Elephas maximus indicus: one gene and its partners. The protein of the gene in region 1 purifies or fractionates together with the protein of each later gene. This does not show direct contact. Links are inferred from orthologs where the notes say so. Each region holds a gene or a part of one and is shown in the gene's direction. Other genes may lie near its edges. The genes, in order: COPA, COPG2, COPG1 and COPZ1.

What was found.
Region 2: the proteins of COPA (region 1) and COPG2 fractionate together in Homo sapiens (co-fractionation; 4 studies listed by BioGRID and IntAct, with this or other methods). This does not show direct contact. The link is inferred for Elephas maximus indicus from reciprocal best matches to the Homo sapiens genes COPA and COPG2.
Region 3: the proteins of COPA (region 1) and COPG1 purify together in Homo sapiens (affinity purification with mass spectrometry; 6 studies listed by BioGRID and IntAct, counting the BioPlex papers as one, with this or other methods). This does not show direct contact. The link is inferred for Elephas maximus indicus from reciprocal best matches to the Homo sapiens genes COPA and COPG1.
Region 4: the proteins of COPA (region 1) and COPZ1 fractionate together in Homo sapiens (co-fractionation; 6 studies listed by BioGRID and IntAct, with this or other methods). This does not show direct contact. The link is inferred for Elephas maximus indicus from reciprocal best matches to the Homo sapiens genes COPA and COPZ1.

Annotation. Positions count from the first base shown.
Region 1 is NC_064821.1:199,026,557-199,034,188, reverse strand, and holds the start of COPA (coatomer subunit alpha), read left to right. Parts: upstream 1-4,630; 5' UTR 4,631-4,760; coding exon 4,761-4,800; intron 4,801-7,632. Other genes in the region: NCSTN (nicastrin), read right to left, coding at 2,747-2,851, 4,450-4,534. UniProt on the Homo sapiens protein: The coatomer is a cytosolic protein complex that binds to dilysine motifs and reversibly associates with Golgi non-clathrin-coated vesicles, which further mediate biosynthetic protein transport from the ER, via the Golgi up to the trans Golgi network.
Region 2 is NC_064826.1:19,142,319-19,149,186, forward strand, and holds the start of COPG2 (coatomer subunit gamma-2), read left to right. Parts: upstream 1-3,864; 5' UTR 3,865-3,922; coding exon 3,923-3,998; intron 3,999-5,128; coding exon 5,129-5,181; intron 5,182-5,738; coding exon 5,739-5,819; intron 5,820-6,868. Other genes in the region: TSGA13 (testis-specific gene 13 protein), read left to right, coding at 369-496, 3,376-3,545. UniProt on the Homo sapiens protein: The coatomer is a cytosolic protein complex that binds to dilysine motifs and reversibly associates with Golgi non-clathrin-coated vesicles, which further mediate biosynthetic protein transport from the ER, via the Golgi up to the trans Golgi network.
Region 3 is NC_064838.1:41,579,168-41,587,081, forward strand, and holds the start of COPG1 (coatomer subunit gamma-1), read left to right. Parts: upstream 1-4,896; 5' UTR 4,897-5,010; coding exon 5,011-5,047; intron 5,048-5,977; coding exon 5,978-6,030; intron 6,031-6,454; coding exon 6,455-6,535; intron 6,536-6,786; coding exon 6,787-6,858; intron 6,859-7,043; coding exon 7,044-7,123; intron 7,124-7,914. UniProt on the Homo sapiens protein: The coatomer is a cytosolic protein complex that binds to dilysine motifs and reversibly associates with Golgi non-clathrin-coated vesicles, which further mediate biosynthetic protein transport from the ER, via the Golgi up to the trans Golgi network.
Region 4 is NC_064822.1:109,811,473-109,818,723, forward strand, and holds the start of COPZ1 (coatomer subunit zeta-1), read left to right. Parts: upstream 1-4,247; 5' UTR 4,248-4,303; coding exon 4,304-4,321; intron 4,322-7,251. UniProt on the Homo sapiens protein: The coatomer is a cytosolic protein complex that binds to dilysine motifs and reversibly associates with Golgi non-clathrin-coated vesicles, which further mediate biosynthetic protein transport from the ER, via the Golgi up to the trans Golgi network.

The DNA of each region.
Region 1 (7,632 bases):
AGGTCCCTTGTGATCCATGCAGAGACATAACTAGGTGGATTATTCAAAAATTATTTTAGAGCAGTTCTCAACCCTGGCTGTGGATGAGAATCACTTTGGAGTTTTAAAAAAACACAGATGCCCGGGCCTTACCTCGGGTCTACTACACACAAATCTCCAAAGGTTGGGCCCAGGTAAACACAATTTAAAACATACCACATATGGTTCTTCATTAAATATAGCCGGCCATGAGAACTATGGTTCTACACCAAGGCACTGAAATACTTGCAACGGGAATGAGACAAAACCCGTAAGCACTTGTGGACTGCCAGATGAGCAAAATTTTTCTCCCATTGGATCTGGTAAAATCTAGATACAGAGGCAGGGTCGCCAACATTCAACTATATCTTACATATAGTAAATACTTCATAAATTCACGTCGGTGGTGATAATGATGAAACACGGAAGAATATCAGAGTCTGGAATAACTTTAGTAAGGACCTAGATACCAATGGCAGTTCTAAGTACCCCAAAAGCAGGGCTTTGAACAGTTCGTTCTGGTTTGAACCACTGCTGAGAATTTGCATTTCGGCCCCAGATATACTGAATAAGAATCTGCAGTTTAACAAGATCCCCAGGTGATTGTCACGTATAACAAATTTTGAGAACCACTGGTCCCTAACCAGAAGCGTTAACATTGCCTGGGAACTTGTTAGAAATGCAAATTCTCAGCAGGGGTTCGAGCTGTTTGGTTTAAAGCCCAGTCCAAAAGACAACAGCCCTTGCCACAGCATTTGAAACGTGGGACAAGGAAAAGATAGTCTAGCAAATAAAAAATATATAACTTCAGCTCTAGAAAGAACTAGAACAAGCTATGACGCTGCGCTGAAAAAAAACCTGTATTCTATTCTGGGTTCCAATCAGTGACTACATAATCTTAACTAACTTGCTTACTTTCTCTGGGGAGAAGCTTTTCAACTCTCTAGTCATCTCATACTGTGAGGAGAGATATAAAAAAAAAAGAATCTACATAGAGAACTTTGAACATCTTAAAGAAAAGAGCCTAAAAGAATGGCTATTATAACCAAAAAAATCAAACTATTTTTCTTTAGCTTTATCATGCTTAAAACTCTAATTAAAGAAGCTGTAGCCTATTCAGAATGGACAGATATGATGAGGTAAGACTTACAGATAAGTAGGCTGAAACAGGAAATAAGGCTTTAATGAGGGAATGGCCAGAGTCCAGCCCTTCCCTTTCATTCCTCTGTACTGGAACTTGGCTTTCTCTCTAAAGGCTATTGCTTTCTTCCCACAGAGTTGCTCCAAGAACACGCTAGGAAATGCATGTTTGCATTTTAGGCTTCCACCAACTATAAAGTTGTATTTTCGAAAACAAATACATATAAGCAAACACTTCTGTGCATTACTGTTCCCAGAGGGGATTTCTTAGAGCCCAGATCCAGGAGGATGGACTCCTGGCCTCTGATACTTACAGTGAGGTTCTAGCAAGACCAGCAGTCTGATCTCAGTCTATACTGGACCTGGCTCTTTTCCACCTGCAAATGCAGTTAAGGAACTAAGTCCAACAGAAGTTCTGTTTGGGGTGGTTTGGAACCAGTCAATTCAGTCCCAGTACTTTCTGTACAGGGACATGGGACAAATAGCGTATAGTGTATACACAGACACTTCCCAGGGTTTGTATAAACACCTATAAAAGGTACTCTGATTTTCAGCTTTGTGCAGGACTAGTCTAGCCATTTTTATAGGTGTAAATTCAATTTTTTTGATGATGAAGAAGCAAGATAGGGCCCTGAGTTTCCTGCCTATCTGTGAAACTACACTCACTGGCCGTGAAAGAACAAAATCTAAAGACAGCAGGTTAAGCAGCAGAGGAACTGGGGTTTGGCCTTCACATCACACCTTTTTTTCCCTCTGTGATGTCTATAATTTTTAGAACCATGTTGCCACGGTTTTGGAACACAGTCACAAAGCATAAAGACAAGTCTGAACGTTTTACTAATTCTTCCTGACAACTATTTGGCATTCTTAATGCCTTCTTCTCAGTTCACTGTTTTTAAGAAGCCCATTTTGGTTCCAAAAAGATCATTCAGAGGGCAGAGGATGACTAGGCTCCACAGGATATGAGACTTCTACTTAGAAGGCAGTATAGTAGGATGATTAAGTCTTGGCTTAGAACTCAGACCCAAAAACAAACTCACCGCTGTTGAGTTGATTCCAACTACAGGACAGAGTAGAACTGCCCATAGGGTTTCCAAGGCTGTAAATTTTTACAGAAGCAGGCTGCCACATCTTGCTCCTGCGCAGCGGCTGGTGAGTTTGAGCTGCTGACCTTTCAGTTAGCAGTCAAGCGTTTTAACCACTGCATCACCAGGACTCCTTGACCTTGGACCACTACAGTGTAAATCCTGGCTTCATCACTTATTATTAGCATGACCTTAGGAAAGTTACTCAACTTCTCTAAGCCTTGCTTTCATGATCTTTATTTAAAATAATAAGACCTACCTCATGGAGTTGTTATGAGGGTCAAATAAGACATTCATGTAAAAAGCTGGGTATGTAGCACTTACTAAGTGTTAGCTCTCATTAATTACCTTGCCTGGTTTGCAAGATGGTTCTCTATCACTTCCTGCCCACACAGTTTAATTTGAGTGCCGAGTCTCCCAAGCAGGATATGGATCTTAATTTATATCTAGGGCACAGACTAAAATATCATTGGCCACAAACACAAATCCCAACCCCAACTCACACTGGCAGCCAATCTGATGAGTGGCATTGAGCAGACGGACACAGGGAGCTGTTTTATTTAAGGGGATGTAGATCTTCCTCTCCACTGAATTTCCCCTGCACAAACCTGAGAAAACAGAAAGTGTTAGAAGAAATTGTGAGACGTTGATATTAGCCTCTGCTATGTCATGAGTTTACTGCATTAAGTCACTCAATATCACATTTTCTAAAATGGGAAGAATATCCATTCCTCTCACTTTTTGGGCACATTATTAAAGCAGATACATGCTCTACAAAGCACTCAACTAGTGCTTCAGAGGGTTATTACAATTTCCACACAGAGAAGCTGATTCTGAAGCTAAAAGAGAGAAAACTTGATTTGTCAAAGAAAAGGCACATTTGGCCTCAGCTGTGTCAGCTTCTGGCTGCGTGGTTGATCATATGTCTACTTTTCTGTCCTGTATGTATATTAATAATTAGTTAATAATGGGGTACAGATTACAAAAACAAAAACTTTCTGAGATACTTTTCCAAGAGCCTGAATAGACCTTGTTGTTGGTGTTCGGCGCTTTCGAGTTGGCTGACTCATGGTGACCTTATGTGCAGTGGAACAAAAGAACAAAACCATGCCTGGTCCTGAGCCATCTCCGTGATCTTTGACATGTTTGAGCACACTGTTGAGGCTGTTGTGTCGATCCATCTCATTGAGGGTTCCCCTTGCTCTCACTGACTCTCTACCAAACATGTTGCCCTTTACTGGCAATTGGTCTTTCCTGATGACATGTCGAAAACAAGATGAAGTCTTGCTATCTACGAATCTAAGGAGCATTTTGGCTGCATTTCTTCCAAGGCTGATTTGTTCGTTCCTCTGGCAGGCCATGGTATATTCAACAGGAACAGAGTTGGGAGACACTTTATGCCACACACACACCTGTCAGAGTTAATCAACTCTTCACCAACTACACCAAAAGCGCCAATTGGTGGTTTGTGTGTGCCCAGAGTGGGGGGCAGCTAGAATTTCTCATTTGGGATCTTTAAACACAATACGAATTTGGAGGAAGGCACAGTCATGGTTACATACAGGCATATTTGCATTTTAAGGCTCCAACAAGTAGAAAATCATGTATCAAAAAATAAATACAAGTAAGCAAACACTTTTGCACACCACAAATTCATAAAGTTCCTTGGATCATTACTTCAGGGTCTAAACAGTTAAGAATACCCATATCAGAAGTCTCACTTTACAGATGAAAGAAACTGCGGCAAGGCAGAGGGCCAGGGGTTTACAGTGAAACCAACAGAGGAAGAAACGAGGAATCTACCTTCCTAAGCCCTGAACCCACAAAACGAGCCTGGTTTCATCTTAAAAAGTCAAAACGTTCTGGGAAGGAAGCTGAACACCGACACCTGTCTCTTTTGATTGTGGATAGGGTGGCTGGGGCCGTGCGAAAAAATCAGCATTCGGACAAACTGGGAGATAGCCGGGCAGGAAGTCCAGGAAGAGGCCTGGAAGTAGGAAGAGAGCGGCACAATGTGCCGAAGGGAGAAGGGCCTTCAGGTCCAGGAAAAGGGGGGAACTTCTGTCGCGGGAACGAAAGAGAAAAAGGATTTAGAGGGCGGGGGGACAGAGGGGCAGTGGACCAGAAAGGGAGACGGCGGCGCTAGCTGCTGGGCCGATCCGGAGGGTTCTTACAGAGCGAAGCTCACGGGCATGGGAGGCCTCACCTGCCAATAGGACGCAGAAAGACAGAAGGTGAAGAAGACCCTGACTTCCCCGTACAACCTCACAGCCGCCCGCAGCCGTAGCCATCTTGCCTCTCAGTTGAGCGGAAGCCTCGGTTCCCCTTCAGTCTGGTAGCGGCCTCTCTAGGCCACCACTGGCGTCATCTCTGTGGCCCAGAGCTCCAGAGACCGGAAGTTCGTGTCTTGAGGCGCTTCCGGTGGCTACTGCGGAGGGACGCTGACGTGGAGGCAACCAAAGGGCAGCAGGGAGTGGCGGGCCTCGGAGTAGGACCTCGGAACCGGAGGTCGGGAGGATGCTAACCAAATTCGAGACCAAGAGCGCGCGGGTCAAAGGTATTGGAGAAGAAAAGGGGGAGCACGGAGGCTGGATGTCACGGGCGGCGCTGTCACGGGGGAAGAAAGGGAGTAGACATGCTGGCTGAGTTTGGCCCATCGACGGACCCTGAGGAGGACGGGAGGGAGGGAAGTTAGGCCTGGAGGGCCGTTCTCCAGTCTCCTCTTTGGTGTGTCCTCGGGCCCTGATTTACCTGCAGAGTGGTTTCCAGCCCCGCAATCCCTTAGGTCAGTTCCCTGTTCTTTCCCCTCTCATGCTCCTGGGGGCTGTGGCCGCGACTTTCTTCTGCCGGTAAGGTCTTGTAACCTCTTGTCTTTTTGCTGATCGTGTTGTGGGGAGTGGTCTTGGGGATTGAGTCTCCATCTGTCACAGGCACCCGAGTCAGTAGCTTTGTTGGAGACGAGCACTGGCTACCTCATTTAAGGAAGCCTTGGCTGCGTCATATCACCACCCAGTGCTTCCACTAGGGTCTGTTTCTTACCGGAAAACAGGACTTTGAGGTCTGTAGCTCTCAGTAAAATCTGAGCTTTGCAGGATTGTCAGGTAAAATACCGGACGTTCAGTTAAATTTGAATTGAGATTAACAACGAATAATTTTTTAGTATCGTTCTTTGTTTATCTGGACTTCAAATTTGACTGGGCATTTCCTGTATTTTTATTTGCTAAATATGGCAACCCTAGAGCTTGAGTGTGTAGAAGAGAGGGGTGGAGTTGGGGGCAAATGGCTGAAATCGCAGCAGTAGTCTTTTAGAGTGTTTTAATGGCAAAGGCAAGGAAGTCAGGTCTGCTGAGAACTGGAAAAGAAATTAAAGCAGCAGTATTTGATAAGATGCAGCATAGCAAAGTGGTTTGGAACTTGGTATTTGGAATGAGATGAACTTGCTTCAGTATCCCGAAATAGTCACTAACAAGCTGTATGTGACCTTGGGCGACGTACTTAACATCTCTAAATTTGTTTCCTCATCTGTAAAATGTGAATAGTTACTATTCTCTTATAGAGAGAGAATGCGCCCCAGAGGTGCAGTGGTTAAAGCCCTCAGCTGCTAACTGAAAAGTCAGTGGTTCAAACTCACCAGCCACTCGTTCTGTGGGAGAAAGATGTGGCATGTAAAGATTTACAGCCTTGGAAACCCTATAGGGCAGTTCTGCTCTGTCCTGTAGGATCACTGTGAGTTGGAATCGAATCCCGGGGAACGGGTTGATGGCATGAGTCAAAACTGGCTCCGTGGCACCAGATAACGAGGTATATCATAAAGGTAAAAAGTGAGCAACCCAATGGAAAAATAGAATGAAAAATTTAGAATTAGGAATGTAATTGTTTAATAAACAAATGAAAATATGCCACACCTCACTAATTAAAGAAATGCAAAAAAACAAAAACATTTTTTTGTCTTAGGTTAACAAAACAGCAAATAACGGATAACATCTTATGTTGTCCAAAGTCCGGTGAAACAGGTACCTTTATAAACTTGGTGAGAGTCTATACTGATCCACCCTTTTTGCATTTAAACAGTGTTTCTTGCATGTGGTTGCCGTGAGTTGGTTCAGATTCAGTGCAGCTAACAACAACCATCATCAGAATTTTGAATGCACATACCCTATTCTTGAGCAATCAATTCCATTTCCAGGTCTTTAGCCTAAAACAGTGATAGTGCAGATAGGCTACGTTATATGTGAAAGTGTCTTTGTTGTTATTAGTTGTCATGTAGTCCATTCAGACTCATGGCGAGTATCTTCATTACAAAAACCAAACCTGTTGCAGTGGGGTTGATCCCAACTTAGAGTGACTCTCTAGGACAAAGTAGAACTGCTCCATAGGGTTTCCAAGGCTGTAATCTTTACGGAAGCAGACTACCACATCTTTCTCCTACAGAGTGGCCGGTGGGTTTGAAGTGCTGACCTTTTGCTTAACAGCCGAGCACTTAACCACTGAGGCCACAGGCTCCTCGTATCTTCATTAGGTCCTGTTTTATTGTTGTCGTTTTTTATTAGGTCCTGTTTTTTGATAGCCAAAAAGTGGAGGAAAAAACTTAAATGCCCATCAGTAAAATAATTTAAAAATGTGATGCATTTGTACAGTACACTTAAAGAGTGAGATTATGTTTATGTGTACTTAAACAGAATGAGATCTATGATATATAGCCACATGAGAAAAGAATTTTGCAGAAAATTATAATGTGATCCCCATTTTCATACAATGAATAAGATCTACGTTTGTATGTAACTACATTAAAAATCTGAAAAGGAATACTCCAAACTGTTAATAGTAGTTACCTTTGGGGACTTCCACTTCTAGTCATGGTAGAGTGACAGGGGCCAGATTTATCTTCCAACCTTAAATATCTACACAACCGGACAAAATGTATGAAACAAAGCTTTTCAAACACTGGACAACACGCAGTGCAGGAGAGTGATCCTTGAGAGAAGGGAGATAAAGGAGGTGAGTCCTATGATTGTTTTAGCTTGCTGCCTGAAGAGAATTTCCAGGCCACAGTAGCAGGAAGGAGGAAGAGCCCTGTGGTCTCGCTGAGTTGAACACACAAGAGTTTAGTGTTCAGGGAAGCCAAGGTGGCTAGAATTTGCTGGACAAAGTACCAGTGGAGAGAGTTGCACAGAGATGACTGGAGATCTGCATGGGGTCCCCTTGGGTCTTTGACTGAGGACTCCTTGCATGTGCATGTGAGGAAACTATTCAGGGCCTGGGCAAGAACCACTGGAAAGTAAAAAGCAGAACAGTCTGTGGAGCTCACACAGGGCTTGGAATAGTTTGTTTCTATGAGCCAGAGTAGAAAGGTCCTGATATACAGGGCACCATGCAGAGGCGTCAGAGG
Region 2 (6,868 bases), on another chromosome or scaffold:
CAATCTCATTTATACTGTGATGAAAGAGAGACAGTAATGAAGGCAGAGCATGTTCAGAGCTATGGTTAACAACAATATGTCATGAGAACACAAAGATAACGAGATTTTATTTGAAACTAAATGATAGAGCAGCCTATATCTAGCTTGGAGAGGAGAGGGGAGATTCTGGAGTTCTCCAGAGGTTTTACAGTAGAAGGTTTTAGAAGCATCCCTTGCCACTGAACAATACTCCCACCCAGTCCCAATCAACACCCTTTAATCATTGTCCCTTCTTCTCTCAGAGTCTCTGAGAATGTAGTTTACTGTCAAATGACTGGTTTCTTTAACCCCCTGCCCTAGGGTCTACTAAGTGAGCTTTCTTTGTTAAGGTTTTCCACTGACAATGATTTCAAGAGTGAAGGGGAGTATTCAAAGGTCTATGCCTTGAGGAAACAGAAAAAAATGTACCCTCAGCTTGCCTTTTCTCCAATCGGTAAAAGAGATATGAGGAAAGACGGTAAGCTCCTTTCTTTCAAAGCAATGGTTTATTGGACTGAGATATCGGCTGGAGGTAGAACCTCTGGGGACTGGAGATATGGGCAAATCAGTATTTCTCATGGTGGTCCTAAAGAATATTTTTCCTTGTAGCATAGAAGCTAGGAACTGATCAAGGTGCTAGGTTTTGGTCCCTGCTTATAGCCTTACATGTCAAGAAAGCTCTAGAACAGTATTCCCAAATACCACCACCTACCACTTTAATAGTTTTTGCCATGTCAGTTTAGTATTTTTCTCTTAAAAGATTTTTTTCACTCTTGTCTTAATCAATACTATATCTTTGACATCATGGGTTTGATATACTAATTATATATTTTTCTGATACACATTAAATCAAACTCATAACAATTAAATTTTAAAATGTGTATTTAGGTAGCAGCTAAAACCATCCACGGTATGCATAACACACTTTGGGGAAAACTGGTCTAGAAGGGCCAAAGGATAAGCAAATCTCAGAAGTCCTCAAGTCTCTTTGGGGTTGGGGTAGGGCATTGGACAGAAGGGGCTTGGGATAAGGCTGCATCGAAGAGGGTGCAATGAGAATGCTCTTCATATTTGTGGGGTGCCTACTTAACGTTGAACACTTACCAAGCACCGATAATAGCACTTTAAATACGTGAGACAGATGAACCCGACCATGAAGTCCTTTTATAGTAAATAAATAAGAACTTGGGTTTTATCCAGTAGGCTATTGGGACCTATATTAGGTCACTGAACACACATTTGTATATTATAAATATAATTAATGAGTTCCCAGACTTCACCAGCTGATGGCTTCAAGATAAAGTCCATTCCTCCTACTAGGTTTCTCTCCTCAAGCGATTTTTGAGGCTTCCTAAGAGCTCAGCTGCTAACCAAAAGGTTGGGAATTCGACTCCACCAGCCACTCATTGGAAACCATATGAGGCGGTTCTAATCTGTCCTATAGGGTCACTATGAGTCAGAATTGACTTGACAGCCATGGTTTTGGTTTTTGGTTTTATTAAGGTCTATTTAGGAGGCCTGATAGTGCAGTGATTAAGTGTTTGGCTGCTAACCAGAAAGGTTGGCAGTTCAAGTCCACCAGCAACAGATTTTTTTTTTTTTTTAAGGTAAGTTTACTGTTTTACAGTTATCCTAGTGATTGATTACCTAACACCTTTGCCAACCATCTTCAGGGCAACAGTCCCAGAGGTCCCAGGTTACACCATACCATCCCTTAACTGGTTTCTTCAGGCCTCTCTGCTCCTAGTTACCAACCCACCCCACCTTACCCACTGCCTGTCTTAACTCCCATATATACAGCTAAAGCAAAGCTGTAGTGGTAAACAAAACTTCATGGGTGTGGAGGAAAGCTAAAGGACAGCAGAGAGAGTTATATTGCTTTAAAAGAGGCTACTTACTCTCAGCTTAGCCTCAAACCCAGCCTCAGTTCCTCTAAGCTTCCCAGTGGGCCTCTAGTACGTTACTTGTTCTTGGGAATCTCCTGGCCTATCTACCTGTTTCTGCCAAGGCTCCTAATACCCTTGGCCCAAGAAAAGGAAGAGGTTCTCCTTCCTTCCCCCAAACCTGTTTCGTTTCAGTCCCAGTAAAAATGACAATGAGACCATCTATTTCCTGCAAGGGAAATTCTTCCTGGGAAGTATGGTTTGAACTTTATAAGCCAGATAAGGCAAACGTAATAGTTGAGAATCCATTTAGTAAAGTTAGAGTTAAATCTTAAATGATACCATATGTAAGGATATCAACAGTGCAGCTTAAATTCATATTTAAAGGCAGAATTTCTCTAATTTTGCAAGGGCATGGTCCTTGTTCAGGATACACCCAATTTACATTTCTAAACAGAATGCTTAATATCTTGATCTGCAGCATCTATTAGAGTTATGACTTCATATTTTCCATCAAGACAAATGAGTGGATACTTGTTTTACTTATGTGAAGTTGAATCAGTGTCTCCACTCGTGGCAAAAGAGAAGGCTAGCAGTCTCCCTCCCCGCAGTAGTGTTCCATGTTTACCAGGCATCCAAAGAAATAAAGATCATAGAGAATGGTTTGAGGCAGGGCCAGGAAGGCGGCTGTCCAAGAAACAGCTGATGAAGACTTGAGCTAAGGAGTCAGCAGTAGAGATAAGGAACAGATTCAAGGGTCATCTACCAGGTATACCCAGAAACCACACCAGCTGTTGTTGAGTCAATTCTGACTCCACGTGTGTCCTAGTAGAACTGTGCTCCACAGGGTTTTCAATGGCTGATTTTTTGGAAGTAGATCGCCAGGTCTTTCTTCCAAGACACTTCTGCATAGACTGGAACCTGCAACCTTTGGGTTGGCAGTTGAGCGCTAAAGCGCTTGCACCACCCAGGGAGGTTTTACAAGGTATAATGCATCAAAAAAGTGGGGAGGGATTGAAGGAAGAAGATCCCACAATGGAAGCTTGAAAGAACAGAACAGAGATTGAAGGAGAATCTGGATAAAATGTTTTAACTGAAGCCAAAAGTAGAAAAAGTTTCTTACTTACACTGTCTGACAAAGAACCGACAACAAACGGGTTAGAAAAAGACTGAGAAACATGAATATACACGTGCGTGCAAGTTAGCCTAAAGAGTTATGTAAGAGTGTGGTTGAAGATGGAAAAACTCAGAAGAGGTGGATTAAATGAGGGGACTGTAAACCAGCGGTGTGTTTTAAACTGGTTTTTGAAGAAGCGACGAAAACGTTTGACAACGAAGGCTGGAAGGGTAGTCCGCGGTCCACAATCTACCCTCTTGGTTAAAGTAAAGACCAGCTTTCTGGTCGGTCACGCTTTGCATTAAGCGCCCTTGTAGAATCCACATTCACCTCAAGGTGCCCTGTGCTTTGTTGCAGCTTCCAAGAAGTCAGCGAGTGCAGTGCCGACTTCCCAGGCGATCTGGGAACCACTCACCCTGTCATCGCTCCTGGAAGAGAAGCCCACCAGAACTGTGCCGGGGGAGAGCGCGTTCCGCAACGGAAGAGCCCAGCAGTGGATCATAAATAACGCCACTCTCATTAAGTGAACACAAACCCTCCAGGCCCCCCTCCCGCCTCGGTCTCCAGACAGGGGTCTGCAGACGTCGCCATCTGCGGCGTGCCATCCAAATAAAATCACATTCCTGCTTGCTCCAGGCGTGGGCTGCCGGGTCGCTGGCCAAGTGGGCAGGAGAGCCCCTCGCTCCGACCTGTCACCGCCCAGGCCCCGCCCCGCCCATGGCCCCGCCCACGCCCGGCTGAGGGCGAAGAGAGGGCGTGGCTGCGGCCCTCCCCGGGCGAGAGCGACGGCCCGCGGCCGGGGGCGGGCCTTCTCCCGGAGTGACGGGCCGGCCGCCCAACCGGCGGGAGCGCTCGGGGCCTGCCTTCCTGCAGCCTCTTCCGCTTGCCGGCTGCTGCGTCTGGGATGGTTGCGGTGGGTCTGGGCGCTGGGAAGTGGGCCAAGATGTTTAAAAAATTCGACAAGAAGGACGAGGAGTCTGGTACGCGCTGGGCCGCTCACGCACACCCTTGGCTGTGGGGACCCCTTTTTGCGCCGCCCTCATGTGCTCCGGGCACGGCGGCCCCGGGGGCGTGGGCACCGGGGGCGTGGGCACCGGTGTGCGCGCGACCCCTCCCCTCGCTCCCGCCGGGGAGCGAGCTTCCCCTGGCCCCTCCCCCAGCGGCCCCGCCTGCGCCCCTTCCTGGCGGCCCCGCCCGCGCCCCGCCCCTGCGCCCCGCCCCCCAGCGGCCCCCCGCCCCCCAGCGGCCCCCCCGCCCCCCAGCGGCCCCCCTCTCCGGCTTAGCCCCTCCGAGCCCCTCCTGGTGGGGCCGTCAGGAGTGGAGGCGGGCTCACGACAGGTGGAAGGAGTGCGTGCGCATGTATGAGAGGCGGGGGTGCTGGGGGTGCTGGGCCCCTAGTGGGAGCACCCTCTTTTGGGCCTGGGGTCGACGGGAACAGCATGTGTGTCCGTGTCCAAAGTTGAGGTGCCTTCTACCTTACAGTCTTTCTTGGGACCTGCCTGCCCCATGGAACATAAGTCAGTGCTCTAGCATGCAGAAGTGACTTTCGTCTTGTTGCCCATCTTTAATCCAGTGGAAAGGGCGAAGAGGCCAAGCCACCTCCACATTCTCAGCTGCCCTCACAAAGCATGGGAGAGGGTGGGGTCCGTTCACCTCCATGGGCCCTTCCCGCTTTTAAGTTGCTATGGTTCTGTGCTGAATTCTTCGTTTCTGCCTCTCAGTACGTGTTATAAGCAAATAAAAAATAGTGCTCGCCTTTAGAGAAATTAGAGTGCCCCACCATCATCTCATTCATTTTAATTGCAGTGGAAATGGCAGATAGTCATAATATTCTTGTACAAAGAGGGCAAGCAAAGAAGACATTCTCATTTCAGGCAGGGTTCCAGCCAAAGAGAAGTCCGAGATCTTCCAGGATAGCAACGACAGAGATAGTGCCAGAATGAAAATACTTTCATTCCATTTACATGCATATTAGTAATGATTATCACTGTGATATCCAAGTGGTCACCTCACTTTAGTGAGATTTCCCAAGCATTCAGTGCCCTTCTGGTGGAAGTAAATACGCTTATGCAGAACAGCTATTACAGATGTCTTTTGTTTTATCATATAGGGAGTGGCTCCAACCCTTTTCAGCATCTGGAGAAGAGTGCTGTCTTACAGGAGGTATGGCTTGCAAGTACATCGTGCTCCTTTCTTTTCTATTTTGTTTTAGAATGGCGGGCAGAGAACCCCTGGGATGCTACAATTGGGGCATCCAAAATGAGACATGAATGTAACTGAGTTCAGAGAATGTAGACTTGAGAGGAAAGGAAGAGGGGTTACTTGCCATGGGAGAGTTTAGAGCTTTTAGAAATGTAAAGACACACAGACTCTGCTACATGCTGGGAATTTTAAATGTCAGAAGACGTGTTTGGTGTGAGGTTATTGAAGGAAGTTATAGATATTAAGCTCCCTGTGTTTATATGATGCAGTAAATATTGTGATTTGTGGTAAATATTGTGATTCTTATTTACCAGATAAAGTTCAGAAAGTTGAAGTATTAGATTTAATGGAATGGGTTGCAAAGTACAGAATGGAAGATCAAGGCTACGTCTAATAATTTCTTGTATTCTATGATACATTGAAGACTAATGTTTTTGGATATTGTGATTAAAAGTTGGTTTGCTGTCATCTGTGATAGAAAATGTAGAAAATATACTATATTTTTTTTTTTTTTATAGGCTCGTATATTCAATGAAACTCCCATCAATCCAAGAAGATGTTTGCATATTCTTACCAAGATTCTTTACTTACTGAACCAGGTAAATTATTTTTAGTTTTTCTCAGGTTTGTGTCCTGGAGTAGAAATACATAGCATGGAGTGAAGTACTTTCTGGAAAGTACTTATCTATTTCTCTAAAATATTTAACATAATAACATGTAAAACTTCTTGAGGACAGGAATTATAACATATAGTTATTTTGTGTTCATGAGATACTAAACCAGCTGACCACATGGTAGATTCTCAATAAATACCTATTGATTTGAGTTTAACAACAACAGCAACAGCAAAAAACCAAACCCGTTCCTGTCGAGTCAATTCTGACTCATAGCAACCCTATAGGACAGAGTAGAACTACCTCATGGGGTTTTTAAGGTTGTAATCTTTACAGAAGCAGACTATCACATCTTTCTCCCATGGAGTGGCTTGTGGATTCAACCTGCCAGCCTTTCAGCTAGCAGCTAAATGCTTAACCAGTATGCCACTTTGAGTTTAACAGGTACTAGTTAATGTTAGTATAAATGTTTACATTCGTTCAGAGATCTTTATATCTCTCCAAAAATACAATGCAAAATCTCAGGCAAATTCCAGGTAGATATTTTACCTTTCTTGGGGAAGGCGGGCAAACCCTGGAGGCACAGTGGTTAAGAGCTATGGCTGCTAACCAAGAGGTCGGCCATTCGAAGCCACCAGGCACTCCTTGGAAACCCTATGGGGCAGTTCTATTGTGTCCTACAGGGTCGCTGTGAGTCAGAATCGACACTATGGCAATGGGTTTTGGGAAGGTGGACGGGTAGGATAGATCATCAAAACAAAACAAAACAAACCCATTGACATCGATGACAATGGGTTTGATTTATTTACTTATTTTTTGTATGTATATACACCCCCCCCCCCCGTTTCCATTTGGTGCTGAGTAAGAAGACTGGTTTCCAATTTGAATTCCATGTGAATATTTTATCATTACTCTGTTTCTTGACTGAGAACCTTATCCATAGATTTAATAGTTTTTGTTGTTTGCAAATGGAGGTTGAGCAGTAAGCACACACTTTTTAAATAAAATGTATCTGTTCACTAACATTTTAGTCT
Region 3 (7,914 bases), on another chromosome or scaffold:
GTCATAAAATATTTGTCCTTTTCTGACTAACTTATTTCACTCAGTATAATATCTTCAAGCTCTATTCATATCATAATATGTATCAAGACTTTGTTTCTCTTACTGGCTGAGTAGTATGTCTTTGTTTGTATGTATCCCATTTTCTTCCATTGTATGTACCACATTTATCCATTGATGGGCATTTAGGTTGTTTCCACATTTTGGCTATTGTAAATAGTGCTGCAACTAACATTGGTGTACAGTATCTGTTTGAGACTCTGCTTTCAAGTCTTTTGGATATATACCAAGGAGTGGAATTCCTGGGTCATATGGTAGCTCTATTTTTAGTTTTTTGAGGAACTGCCATAGTGTTTTCCACAACAGCCGTACCATTTTGCATTCCCAGCAGCAACGCATAAGCGTTCGAATTTCCCCACATCCTCGCCAACATTTATTATTTTCTGATGGCTAATGACATTTTTTTTTTTTTTAATGACATAGATCATCTACTCATGCGCTTGGTGGCCATTTGAATTTCCTTTTTGGTGAAATGTCTATTCAAGTCCTTTGCCCATTCTATGATTGGGCTGTCTTTTGGTTGTTAAATTGTCGAAGCTTTATATATTTTTTGGCTATTAGATTCTTATTGGATATATAGTTTCTGAAGATATTCTCCCAGTCAGTAGCTGGTCTTTTCACTTTTTTGGTAAAGTCTTTTGATGAAAAGAAGTTTTTAATTTTTAGTGGTCCCCTTTATTTTGTCTTTTGCTGTCTGTGCTTTGTTATTTTATTATATTGCCCCTGCATTTTCTTCTAAGAATTTTGCAGTTCTGGTTTGCACATTTAGGTCCTTAACCCATTTTGAATTTGTTTTTGTATATTTTGTATATGGTGTGAGGCATAGATCCTGTTTCATTTTACTGCATGTGCTAATCCAATTTTCCAAACACCATTTATGGAAGAGATTCTTCTTTCCCCACTGAATGAACTTAAAACTGTTGTCAAAATCAGTTGAGCATAGACGTGTGGGTTTGTTTCTAGACTTTCAATTCTATTCCATTGGTCTGTGTGCCTATTTTTATACTAGTACCAGGCTGTTTTGATTAATGTCGCTGTATAATATGTTTTAAAATTGAGAAGTGTGAGTTCTCCTACTTTGTTCTTCTCTTTCAACATTGCTTTAGCTTTTTGGGGCTTCTTGACATTTTATATAAAGTTGAGAATTTGTTTTTCCATTTCCATAGAGAAAGCTGTTGGAATTTTTATTGTGATCAAGTCGAATCCATAGACTGCGTTGGGTAGTACTGACATCTTAACTAATGTTCCCATCCATGAACATGGAACATCTTTCCATTAATTTAAGTCTTCTTTAATCTCTTTCAGCAGCGTTTTATAGTTCTCATTGTATAAATTTTTCACATCCCTGGTTCCTAGGTATGTTATTCTCTTGGATGCTGTGGTAAATGGAATCATTTTCCTGACTTCCCCTTCAGATTTCTCATTGTTGATGCATAGAACCCCAACTGATTTTTGTTAGTCGACTTTATACTCTGAACTACCGTACGACCCAGCAATTCCACTTTGCTAAATCCTTTTTTTTTAATTGCTGTAAACGTATATATGACACATTTGCCAATTCAATATTTTTCACATGTACAATTCAGTGATATGAATTATATTAATCATGTTGTACAACTATAGCCAACGTGGCATTTCTTTTTGGGGTAATAAAAATGTTTTGGAATTAGATGGAGATGATGGTGGCACTTTTTTTTTTTTTTTACTATACTAAAAGCCACTGAGTTGTACACTTTAGAGGGTTGAATTTTATGATATATGAATTGTATTTAAAAAAAAAAACTCAAAACTATAGAATAATGTCATGGATTGAACTGTGTCCCCCAAAAATGTGTCAACTTGGGTAGGCCATGATTCCCAATATTGCATGATTGTCCACCATTTTGTCATCTGATGTGATTTTCCTACATGTTGTAAATCCTATCTCTATGACGTTAATGAAGCAGGATTAGAGGCAGTTATGTTAATAAGGCAGTACTCAATTTACAGGAAGAGGTTGTTTCTTAAATCAATCTCTTTTGAGATATAAAAGGGAGAAGTAAGCAGAGAGACAGGGGACCTCATACCACTAAGACAGCAGCACCAGAAGCAGTGCACATTCTTTGGACCCAGGATCCCTGCGCTGAGAATCTCCTTGACTAGGGGAAGATTGATGACAAGGACCTTCCCCCAGGACCAACAGAGAAAGAAAGACTTCCCCTTAGGCTGGCACCCTGAATTCAGACTTCTAGCCTCCTAAACTGTAAGAGAATAAATTTCTCTTTGTTAAAGCCATCCACTTGCAGTGTTTCTGTTATTGCAGCACTAGATAACTAAAAACAAATAATATCATAACCAGGATACTGACATTGATACAACTCACCAATCTTACTCAGATTTCCCCAGTATTACTTCTACTTTCAATTCTAATACTCTATGTTTCCGCAAAGGACTTAGCAATTACCTTGAACAACATATATATATTTTATTTAAAAATAATAATTATATCAAATATAAGCTCACACATAGAGCTGGAGCCACAACCCACAATTCTCATTATCAAAAGAGTATTGTAAAAATTGTCCTTTGTATAAAGTTTTATAGAATTAATATCATAACATAAAAGCCTATTTTGTCCCAACACAATTCATCTGTATTTCACCATCTTAACAATTCAATTCTCTAGGGTTCTTTCTGGTTTCTAACCATGAAGGATTTTTATTTCACCTTAATTATGAACACTTTTACACTCTATCCTTTTTTGATACCTTGATTATTATGAGAAGTTTGCATGTGGTCTCCCAAGTTGCAAGAAACATCCCTTTGAGAGGATGTACCACAATGTTCTTTGTTGTTGTTGTTGTTAGGTGCCATCAAGTCGGTTTCAACTCATAGTGACCCTATGCACAACAGAACGAAACACTGCCTGGTCCTGCGCCATCCTTACAATCATTGTTATGCTTGAGCTCATTGCTGCAGCCACTGTGTCAATCCACCTCGTTGAGGGTCTTCCTCTTTTCCACTGAACCTGTACTCTGCCAAGCATGATGTCCTTCTCCAGGGACTGATCCCTCCTGACAACATGTCCAAAGTATGTAAGACACAGTCTCGCCATCCTTGCTTCTAAGGAGCATTCTGGCCGCACTTCTTCCAAGACAGATTTGTTCTTTCCTTTGGCAGTCCATGGTATATTCAATATTCTTCGCTAACACCACAATTCAAAGGCGTTCAACTCTTCTTTGGTCTTCCTTATTCATTGCCCAGCTTTCACATGCATATGATGTGATTGAAAATACTATGGCTTGGGTCCAGTGCACCTTAGTCTCCAGGGTGACATCTTTGCTCTTCAACACTTTGAAGAGGTCCTTTGCAGCAGATTTACCCAATGTTCTTTACCATCCCCTTATTGGTGGGCATTTAGGGTGTTTCTAATTATCTTGCTACAGATTGCTGCAGTGGGAAACTTTGTTTTCTTCTTTTGGATGGCTTCCTCAGGATAATGATTGGAGCTACTACTGGTTAAAGGTTTTTAATGTCTTTCTGGGTCTTGACAATTTCACTCTGGCTCACGACTGGCTCGTCCTCTCCCCAGCTCCCTCTTTCCCACAGGCTTAACCTCTGAACTGCCTAAGCTAAAAGACTGGCCCCTTCCCGGACACCCCTACCCCAGCCGTGCTGTCACCTCCACCTTCACTTGCAGGTCTCTGCCCCTGCACCCTGCCGCTCCTTCCAACCCCCGACTCACCAGCAGGGCTCCTTCACCTCCCTGCCAGACTGCGGGCTTCCCTCTCCCCAGGCCAGGTGATGACCTGCGTCCCAGCGCTTAACCATCCAGACTCGGTTTTGCCGCAGCGAATGCAATTGGCATGTTGGGACGCACCGTCCTTACCTTAGCCACACAGTGTCCGGTGTAGGTCCCCTATCAGGAAGATAAACCCCCCCCAAAGATAAACCCTAGTGATGTCTTTTTCCCTTCCTCTCCCGCCCCCAGCGCCAGGCGGCGCATTTAGTAAGTATTAAATAAAAGAGCAACATTGAAATTCCACACTGACCTTTTAGTTCCTTGTAAGTTAATAAAATAAAAAACAATTTGCACCAGGAGCAGATAAGATGAGAGTGGGCACATATGAATTATAACAGCAATTAAATGCATTAACTCGTTCTACAAGAATTTATTGTTCACATACTATTGCCAACATCATCCTCCGCAGTGAATAAGACAAGGAAAACAATAAAAACATTGTGTGCTAGATGGTGATTCGAGTCAAGGAGAAAATCAAGCAGGAAAGGGAGACGGAAAGTAAGGAGTGGTTAGCGAAGCTTACCGAAAAGGTGACAGTTATAATATTAATCCATAAAACTCATTGCCGTTGAGTCGATTCCGACTCACTGCGAGTCTATACAGTAGAATTGCCCCGCTGACTTTTCAAGGCTGAAATCTTTGCGGAACCGGACTGTCCCATCTTTCTCCCACAGCGGCTCGCGGGTTCAAAACCCCAAGCTTTCGGTTAACAGCCCAGAGTTTAACCACTGCTCCACCAGGGCTCCTTAATAACAGGTTACTTTAATTGGGTGGGACGGCAGGCGAGCGTGCTACGGACCTCACAGCCGAAAGCCTGTTTTAAACTCACTTCACACGCAATGAGGCAGGGGCTGCTACAACTCCCAGTGTACACAGCAGGAGGGCGTAAGGCGCCGAGCTAGGTCGCCAGCCGTCCCGAGCGTGAGAGGCTTCAGCCCCCCAGGTCTGCGGCCCTCTGACCTCTTCGGCAAGTACAGGGTTAACGCAAAAAAAAGGGACAGCGGCGGCTCAGGCGTGCGCATGCGCAGAGTGCGGAATGCGCCTGCGCAGAGCCTCGAGCGACGTGGCCTGGTCGGAGCCCGGAAGTGGCCGAAGTGGAACCTCCGCCGGGCAGCTACTCCGAACCGCACCTGCCGAGCCCAGTGCTGCATCGCGCCCTCGCCGGCCCTGCCATGCTGAAGAAATTCGACAAGAAGGACGAGGAGTCGGGTGAGGGGACCCAGCAGGCCTGGGCCTGGGGGAGGCCGAACCCCCGCGCAAGCTTTCGGGACTCTGCGCTGACTGGGAGGCCGAGGCTCGGGGAGGGGCCGGGGCTTGTGCGAAGATCCGCAGCTGGTCAGTGGCAGGCCTCGGAAAGCCAGAGCATCCTCCGCGGCCCGCCACTCGTAAGCTCGGACTGTGACCCGCCAGGTGACCTTGGGCGAATCACACTCCTCCCTGGGCCTCAGTTTCCCCATCTGCCAGAGGAAAGGCTGGGCCGAATGCTCCTCTTTCTTCGCCTGGCCTTTCGGGATTCGCCGGGACCGCGCTGGTTCTGTCCAAGCTGGAGTGTAATCTGTGGAGCCTCTGTCTTGTGGCTGAGAACCCTGACTCATTCATTCATTCATTCAGCAGACACGTATTGAGTACTTTATGTCAGGCTTTGTGCTGTGTCCTGATACAGCAGTAGAACAAAGCAGACACTCGGTTCTTGAGCTGGAAATGTTACAATGGAATGAACAAGATGGTCACAAGCGTAGTGGAGGAGACAGACATCAACCAGAGAGTCACAAACGTGATTATTACAAATGTGACCTCTGTTATGAAGGAAACTTAGTCAGGAGGAAATCGTGGTCCCTGGTCCATAGTAGGGACTCAGTAAAGTAAGGGTTGTATGAATGAATACAAGCCATGCCACCATGAGAAACAGAAGGAGGAGCGTACCAGGGCTGCTGGGTGACTGTAAGTGGTTTGGGTTAGGTTGGAGGCCCCTTGCAGGAGAGTGGTAGGATCTATAGGCAGACTGTAGAGCCTTGATTGCCGTTCCTGAGGAGTTTGAACTTTGTTGGGTAGACAATAGGGACATCTTTCCCTTCTCTGTGTTTGATAGCTTTGAAATTCAGGATGGTACTCAGTGTTTTCTATTCTCTTTAACTGTAGGTGGAGGCTCCAACCCATTCCAACACCTTGAGAAGAGTGCAGTACTCCAGGAGGCAAGTGTCATTTGTTCCACTCTGTCTTCCATCATAAATGTTCATGGTGGATATGATGGAAAAAGCAACACATTCAGTCCTGATTAGAGAAGTGTAGGAGAGAAAACCTGTGCCTGGAAAGACAGAGAAACTTTTCTTCTTGGAGAGATGATGCCTACATTTTTGTTGTTAGTCATTTCACCTTCCATTTAATAAGCATTTCCTAAGTATTTGTTGGTTATAGGTCCACACATCACTAATATTTAAAAAAAGGTTGTTAATAGATGAGTTAAGAAAAATAAAACTTCTTATGGAAATAAGCCTGTTTAGGCAAGTGTATTTATTTACCCTGGGACTTCTCAGAACCTTGAATGTGCTTGAAGGTAGTCAGTGGAAAGGAAACAAACAGGGCTAGAAGGTAATAGCCTTTGTTGCTTTTTCTTAGGCCCGTGTATTTAACGAAACTCCCATCAACCCTCGGAAATGTGCCCACATCCTCACCAAGATTCTCTATCTCATAAACCAGGTAATAGGGTGAGGTTTGAGGGTGGGGAAACTGGTGTTGAGGAGAGTACACAAGTTATCATCACTTTAAGTGATTTGACAGCCTTCGTGTGGTTGCAGCCACTGGCTCAGTTCTGGGTCGCCTGAGCACCCAGTGTGTTAGCCTTTAATGGAATTTTTGCAGGGTCCGAGGATCTGGCCTGGGCTGATCCAACAGGAAGAGCCATCTGTCCCCTCTGTCCCAGGCTGAGGCTTCTTTCTTGATTACCACAGGGGGAGCATCTGGGGACCACCGAAGCAACCGAGGCCTTCTTTGCCATGACCAAGCTCTTTCAGTCCAATGATGTAAGTACTCCGACCCCAGCTTTCCTTAAGGGGCCAGTTTGTGACATAGTCGTAGGAGACCCCCAGAAAACTGGCCCCACCAGTCAGCATGGGATGCCTTTGTGCAGACTGGAGTTTTCTTTTCCTAACTCTGGCCCTCATACTAAGCCAGAAGTGATATACGGCTTTTTCCATCTCTTTTGCAGCCCACACTCCGTCGGATGTGCTACCTGACTATCAAGGAAATGTCTTGCATAGCAGAGGATGTCATCATTGTCACCAGCAGGCAAGTCTTTGGGGGCAGTGGATGGCTTCCCTGATGGATTCATTGACACAGAGGCCATTTTTTCTCTTGTGTGTACCATGCTTTTGATGCGTATTAGACTTTTGTTTGGCATAGCTGCCTGGTGCCCTTTCCTCTTCTGTCTCCTTCATCCTTCAGGTACTGCTGCCAACCCTCAGGGAGTACTGTGCCCTTTTAATTCTCCAGCCTTAACTTGGGTACAACCCCTTCCTTCCCTTAGTTCCTCATGGTCAACTGAACCAGCCTGGAACTTTCACAAAGACATTAACGGATGCTAAAAGAGAACACTAGGAAAATAGATGTAGAGAATGCAAGTGGTATACAAACAGGCTTGCTTACTAAGTACTGAATTCTGCATTAGGCTGAGTGATTCAGGGGACAGATGTGACTAAAGTGTACCTTGCCTGTAAAAACTGGGACGTAGTCCTCTTCTTCTTGCCCCAGCTTTTTTTTGGGGTGGGGGGGCAGGGGGTGGGGTATACATTCATTTATATGTTCATGTAGAAAATATTTATTGCATGCCTGCCAATCCCTGAGTGTATCTCTGGGGATATAGCAGTCTCTGCACCTCCAGAACTGGCAGAGAAACCCCCAGGCACTCAGGCATTGAGGTCGGGTGTCCTCGCTTAATCATGGGAAGTGTGACCAGGGGGCCCCCAACTTGAGTTTGAATCAGGAAAGCCTTCTCAGAAGAACTGTCCAAGCAGAGTCCTAAGGGATGAGTAAGAACTAGCAGGATGAAGTGGAGGTGAGGGGTGAAGGATGCTCCAGGC
Region 4 (7,251 bases), on another chromosome or scaffold:
AATTTATTTTATTGTAGTGAAAAGATTTTTTTTATTAGTGCTAAACTATATACACACGTTTGTTGTTACAAAGTCCCACTATACCAACACATATAAAGAAAAATTATTTAATAATCCATTCCTTCCATCTCACCCTCTAGGGGTAGCCTATATTAGTACTTCTCTTACACATCTTTCTTTATATTCTCTCTTCCTAGAATACATTTCCCCCCAAATAACAATATGGCTCATTCCCTTACTCATTCTAGGTCTTTTATCAAATATCTCCTTCTTATTAAGGTCTTCCTTGATCATCTATTAAACCTCTTTTCTGTCACTTGCTTCTCTTCAATTATGAATGGTATCACTCCAAATTGTGCAATGGTTTGCCCCCCTTCTCCTTTTAGTTTTAATTTTCTCCATAACACTTATTACCACCTAACATCCTTTATGGAAACCCTGGTGGCATAGCAGTTAAGTGGTATGGCTGCTAACTAAAAAGTTGGCAGTTTGAATCCACCAGGTGCTCCTTGGAAACCCTGTGGGGCAGTTCCACTTTGTCCCATAGGGTCACCACGAGTCAGAATGGACTTGATGGCAACAGGTTTTTTTGGTAACGTCCTTTATAGTTTACTTATTTCTTCAGTTTAATTTCTGCTCCTGCTGCCTAGCTAGAATGTAATTTCCATGAGGGCAGGGATTCTTGTCTGTTTTGTTCACTGCTATATCCTGAGTGCCTAGTGTGACTGATATCCAATAAATATTTGTGGAATGAAAGAGTATATTTACAGAAACATACAAACATCCAATACTCGTCTGTTGGTTTGTAGTTCTGTGGTGGTCTACATGTTGCTAAGATATAGGAACCTATGCCGCTGGTATTTCAAACACCAGTAGGGTCACTCTGGCGGACAAGTTTTAGCAGAGCTCACAGACTAAAACTAGGAAGAAAGACACGGTGGTCCACTTCCAAAAATTAGCCAATGAAAACCTACGGATAGCAAGTGAACAAATCAGTCTTAGAAGAAATACAACCAGAATGTTCCTCAGAAGCAAGGATGGCAGAAACTTTGGCTCACTTACTTTGGACATGTAATGAACAAAGACTAACCACTAGAAGAAGACATCATGTGTGATAAAGTAGACAGTCAGTGAAAACCAGGGAAACCCTCATGAGATGGAAAGACACAATAGCCACAACAGTGGACTCAAACATACCAACAATCATGAAGATGGTGGAAGACTGAGTAACATTTTGTTCTGTTATACTAAGGTCATCATGAGTTGGAGCCAGTTTGATAGCAACTTAAAACAACAATAACATGCAAACATAGTTAATTCATTATTAGAGTCTGTTATGAATTGAATTATGTCCCCCCAAAATGTGTGCCAACTTGGCGAAGCCATGATTCCTGGTACTGTATGGTTGTCCACCATTTTGTGATCTGACGTGATTATCTTATATGTTGTAAATTCTAACCTCTGTGGTGTTAATGAAGCAAGATTAGGTTACATTAAAGAGGATTAGGGTGGGATGCAACACCCTTACTCTGGTCACAGCCCTGATCCAATGTAAGGGAAGTTTCCCTGGGGTGTGGCCTGCATCACCTTTTATCTTCCAAAACCCATTGCCAGTTGAGTCAATTCTGACTCATAGTGACCCTATAGGAAACCCCCATAAGGTTTCAAAGGAGGGGCTGGTAGATTCAAACTGCCAACCTTTTAGTTAGCAGCCTCAGCTCTTAACCACTGCACCATCAGGGCTCCAAAAGGGGTAGAAGTGAGCAGAGAGTTGGGGACCTCATACCACCAACAAAGAAGCGCCAGGAGAGGAGCATGTTCTTTAGATCTGGAGTCCCTGCACTGAGAAGCTCCTAGACCAGGGAAAGATTGATGACAAGAACCTTCCCCTAGAACGGACAGAGAGAGAAAGACTTCTGGAGCTGGTGCCCTGAATTTGGACTTCTAGCCTCCTAGACTTTGAGGAAATAAACTTCTGTTAAAGCCATCTACTTGTGATACTTCTGTTATAGCAGCACTAGATAACTAAGACAGTCTTAATTTTTTTTTTTAATGAAAAAAATGGAATCACACCATATAAATTACTCTGGAACTTACTTTTTTCATTTAGCATCCCATGGATATTTCTTCAGTTTAATGCATATAAATCTAACATTCCTTTTTATTAGTTGCATATTATTTCACAGTCTGGATGTACAATAAGTTATCCAATTATTCCTCTGTTGATATACAATAATGTTATTTTTTTGCCATTGTAGACAATGCTGCAATAAGCAGTCTTACATATGTATGTATGTACATACAGTCTTATACATGAGTGTACAGACACACATGCGTATACTGGGTTGTTTTTGTTTTTTCAGGAGAAGATATATTCATGTTTAATTTTTCACCGTATTGACAGAACACTTTCCAAAACCTCCAAGTTTGATTATCTCCTCTCTGCTCCTCACCAGCAGCTTTCTCTCTAGTCTTCAAATAACCAAGCATAAGCACCCCTGATTGAACTCATAGTCAACTTTCATGCCTCTTGTTTTATGTAAAGTATCTTAATCTGGATCTTCCCCAAAACTTGGCTGAAAAACAGTCAAATTGGAACTTGCCTGCTTTGAGATGGCTCAGATTGTGTCTTTCAAAGGTCCTCCCCTAAAGAGGTTACATGTGACAAAGAGGGTCCAGTTTCCAGCCTCATCAACTGAAGCCTTGGGGTGGATCTCTGCTTCCTTAAACTATAAGCTTCTAAGTTCAGGCTTTCTCAAGTCCATAGATAATGGACCTTCTGGCTTTGTTTCCAGGGTTCAGCATCTAAGCAATTCCAAGAGGACAAAGTGATAAACTAAGCTCAATCAGGTATAAAAGAAGTAATTTCTCACACACCATCCCCTCAACCTTAGCTGACTTTTCCAATTTATATTTGGGGCCCTAGATTATTGAGGCTTGTCACTTGGGACTTCACCAGAATGTCATTTAAATACCTTCCTTCATAGCATGTATTAGCTCTGTAGTTTGTTTTTGTACTGTTTTTTTTTTTTTTTTTTTTTCCTTAGGTCCTATGACTGTACTCCAAAACAACTAGAAAAACTCTTGGATGGGTCTAGACTGTCTTCTTGGAGGGATTCCTTAAAGACATAATTGTCAGAGACGAAAAACAAAAATCCCTTTAGGAATAATATGAGATAATGAAAAGTGTCTCTGATCTAAGACGGTCGGGAACCAAGGAACCAAGGGGTGGGGGAAAGTCAAACTTCATCAAAACCCTTCCCCGTTATGAAATCTCTGTAGTCAGTAAACTTCTCTTTTCTCATTTTGCAATGGCTTGTCCCTACTGGAAAACCACAGACCCTGCTCCCCATGTCCTCCCTTATCCTGGTCCCTTTACCCCTTTTGTCCTTTCTAATCTCTCCTTTCTGGTCTCCAAAGCTCTAACATCCCATTTCATATCAGGCTACAGGAAAATCTGCTTTTAGAAACTCCCTAGCTTCTCCCACTTCCCTCGGCCCGGCAAAGCCTGGGACTACATTTTGGGGAGATTGTTACTGTGGTGATCAACTCCTGTCTCCGTGGTTCATCTAGTTAACACGCTGGGCATCTCGTCTGCACACTCTATGGTTGTGCAGACTCTGTGAGGTCACTAAAGTGACCTGAGGAAGCTTGTGGGGGGGGGCGGGAGCTAGCTGTGGTTGTCACAGCAACAGACCCGTTGCAGTCTAGTGGGTTCCTACTCATAGTGACCCTATAGGACAGAGGAGAACGGCCCCATAGATTCTCCAAGGAGCGTCTGGTGGATTTGAACTGCCGACCTTTTGGTTAGAGGTAAGTCCTAACCACTACGCCACCAGGGTTTCCCACAGCGGATAACACAGGGATTCGGGTAGGATTCTGTCAGAAGCTGTCAATGTTAAGGGACAAGGGGGAGCATAGCGCCCCCTAAAGAGAGTGAGGATTAAAATGTCTAAAGCTGTCGGACAGTATCACGTGATCTCTGCCCTACCAATTGAAAATGAATAATCGCATCCTCTGTTCCCCATGGAAACAGCCCCGCCCAACTGGCCCTCCCGCCCTATTCCGTCGGGCCATCTTGGCATTTTATTGAGTGTTCAAACTGACAATCAAATGTCTGTGCCTTCTGACTGGACACCTTGCTTCCGCTAAGCAAGATAGTACAATGATTGGTCAATAGGGCAATGGCTGGCATTCTGTAGTCCAATGACTCTTATCCTGGGCGGGGCCTAATGGGGACGTAGGGCCAATCAGCGGCGGCGTTGCTTTTGCGGCTCCACGTCGGCACCAGCTGCGGGGCAAGATGGAGGCGCTGATTTTGGTAGGAGCCGGAGGGGCCGCGGAGAGCTGCGGTGTCCAGAGGGGCCGGTAGTCAGGGTTCAGCCCGACTGAGAGGGAGGAGAAGGGGGACTTCTGGGTAATTATCGGGTACTGAAGGTTCTGCTGGCTCTGGAATGAGTATGTGGCCTACTGCAGGAGCTAAAGCCTCGGATTAGAGTAGGAAGCCATGGGGGAAAGAAGGCATAGGGTTGGTGGAAAGTTGAGGGGAGCACATGGAGTCCTCAGGATACATAGAATTGCAAGCGTACTGGATTGGGGCCCTTCAGGTTCCCCCTAATTCTTAGCATCTCCTAATTTGAGTTTTCTCAAATCTCCAAACTCACCCCAAATTTTAAGACCAGAGTTCAGGTGTTTTGTCTCTTCCGGATGGTTGTCAGAGTTTGACTCTTCATCCTTTGTCACATTCCTTCAAAAACTTTTTTTTCTCCTTACATCGGTTTCCCGTTAATCCTTCTTATATATGCCTGTCATGAGAGAGAATCATTGTGTCCATCAAAGCTCTGGAATACAGTTCTTGATAAAGTTAGCATAGATTGTGCAGTGTTTTTCTAGACTCCTTATTCTTTTTTTCCTTTTCCCTCCGTATTTAGACTTTAGGAACTTTTATTGTAGGATCTGATATGCTGACTCCCTCTTCTGGCAGTATGAGAATTTGGGTGGCTTTAAAGGGGTTGCATTAGCTCCTTGGTCCATAAGATCCGTTTTGCTTGTTTAAATGAATGAATTCCTTAATTGAGTTGAATTCTAGGCCTCTTTCCAGAGCACCTTTTCTTGTTCTTTCCTTCTGACCTAATACACATACACCTGTAGATCCTCATCAGCTAAAACTGAGTAATAGGTTTCTATACCCCTCTTTCAAATTGGTATAGAAATCATTTTGTTCTCATCATCTAGGTTGGCCCAGTGTAGATAGAAAACTTAAATTGCAGGCAGTTTTTAATATATCTTGTTTTCAGGCAGTTACCCGGTATTCTTAACCAGTTCACAGATTTAGGACAGATGCTAGGGAATTGGTTTTTTTGGAAGTTTTGGGGAATTTTTAGGCTCCCCTATTTCTGTTTAGAAGGAAGCCTGCTTGGAGGTAAAAGAGTGAGGGAGATGATACTTGGGGAGGCTTTTTAACAAGGCACCTGGGTCTCTCTGTAATGCTGAATCCAGGGAGTTCTGTGTGAAAGAAAGTCTTTGTCACATTTTCTCTTACCTCAGTTTCCTGTTCCTGCTTCTGCAGTGAAGTCTGTTTCAACCCACTTCTTTCCTATATCCAATTAAATGCCTAAGATGCTGCGTTCATGGTATCTCTGCTGACTTGGTTAGATACCTCCGAACTTTGGTTTTGAAACTATGTTGTAGTTGATTCTGACTCATAGCGACCTCGTGTGTGTTAGAGTAAGTAATGATTCTTTATTATGAGGAACCTATGTAATGGGATTTAGGGAAAGCAAAGTATAGGGAAAAGGGCTTGCTCAAGAAACACAGTGTCAGAACTAGGATTAGATTTTTATTTCTTCAACCTCCTAGACCAAGTTTCTCTCTGATGTGTTACTGAGTTTGTCTCATCATGGGCTTTCCACCTCTTTATGGAATATTGTCCTTTCAGCCATCAGTTACATAAACCTTTGGACGGAGACAGAGTACCAACTCCTGTACTGTACCAGCTGCCAGGGTTCTTCGGATATTAAATGCATTTCCCTTGCTCTGGGTTAGCTCTTTCCAACATTTTTTTGCTCCTTACATTTTAATTTATTTTTGTCCCCCAATTAAAAATATATATACTTTCCCCGCATCCATCCAGCCTTTCTCAGCTGGAGTCTTATGAGAGAATTAATCCATGATGCCCTCAGGCATCTATTGTAAAATGGAATCAGCTTATTCCTCTGCATCGAGAATGGCATTAGTTATGTACCATCCTTGGGAGAAATGAGAAAAATAGTCACTTCAGTAATTTTTTGTGTTCTGTGCTTCAGATGAGGAACCCTGGGTGAGAGTCAGGTGATATTTCCTAAATCTCTTTCTCACCTCACTACCCTCATATACTGGCCCACCAAGTTAGGTCCATTTTATTAAGAATCAGAGCCCAGTTGGTGCAGTGGTTAAGCGCTCAGCTGTTAACTAAAAAGTCAAACCTACCAGCCGTTCCTCGGGAGAAAGCTGTGGCAATGCTTCTGTAAAGATTTACAGACTTGGAAACCATGTGGGGCAGTTCTCTCTCCTGCAGGGTCTCTATGAGTCGGAATCAACTTGATAGCAGCGGGTAAAAAATCACCTTTCTTCACTGCTTCTTTTTATCTCATTGCCTCCTCTGTCTACTCAGCATCATCTCCTGATTCTTAGGTGGCCATCTTCGTTATGAGAAGAATGAGGAATCTCTGAATTTCCCCTTAGATCTCTACTGAACTAAAGAGTTTACCTGAATAATATTTAGCAAGCCACTTCTTGGAACAGATTGCTAACAAAATTTCTTTAGGTTTCCTCCCTTCACATTTTATTTCCTGGTTTGGTTGAACCTCTGGGGAAGTCTTATGAGAGCATATTCTTCTATCCTCACCTCACTTCTACAAGGCACACAGAGAAGGGAAGGGTGAGCTAGGGATGGTCAAGAAGAACTATTGACCAAAATTTGCTCTGATTATGGGAATTTTTTTCTTTTTTTGTACTTTAGATGAAGGCTTACAGAATGAACTAGTTTCTCATCAGACAGTACACACATTGTTCTATGACATTGGTTAACAACCCACGACATGTCAACACTCGCCCTTCTCAACCCTGGGTTCCCTATTACCAGCTTTCCTGTTTCCTCCTGCCTTCCAGGCCCTGCCCAAGGGCTGGTGTGTCCCTTTAGTCTTGTTTTGTTCCATGGGCCTGTTCAATCTTTGGCTGAAAGGTGAACCTCAGGAGTGACCTCTTTACTGA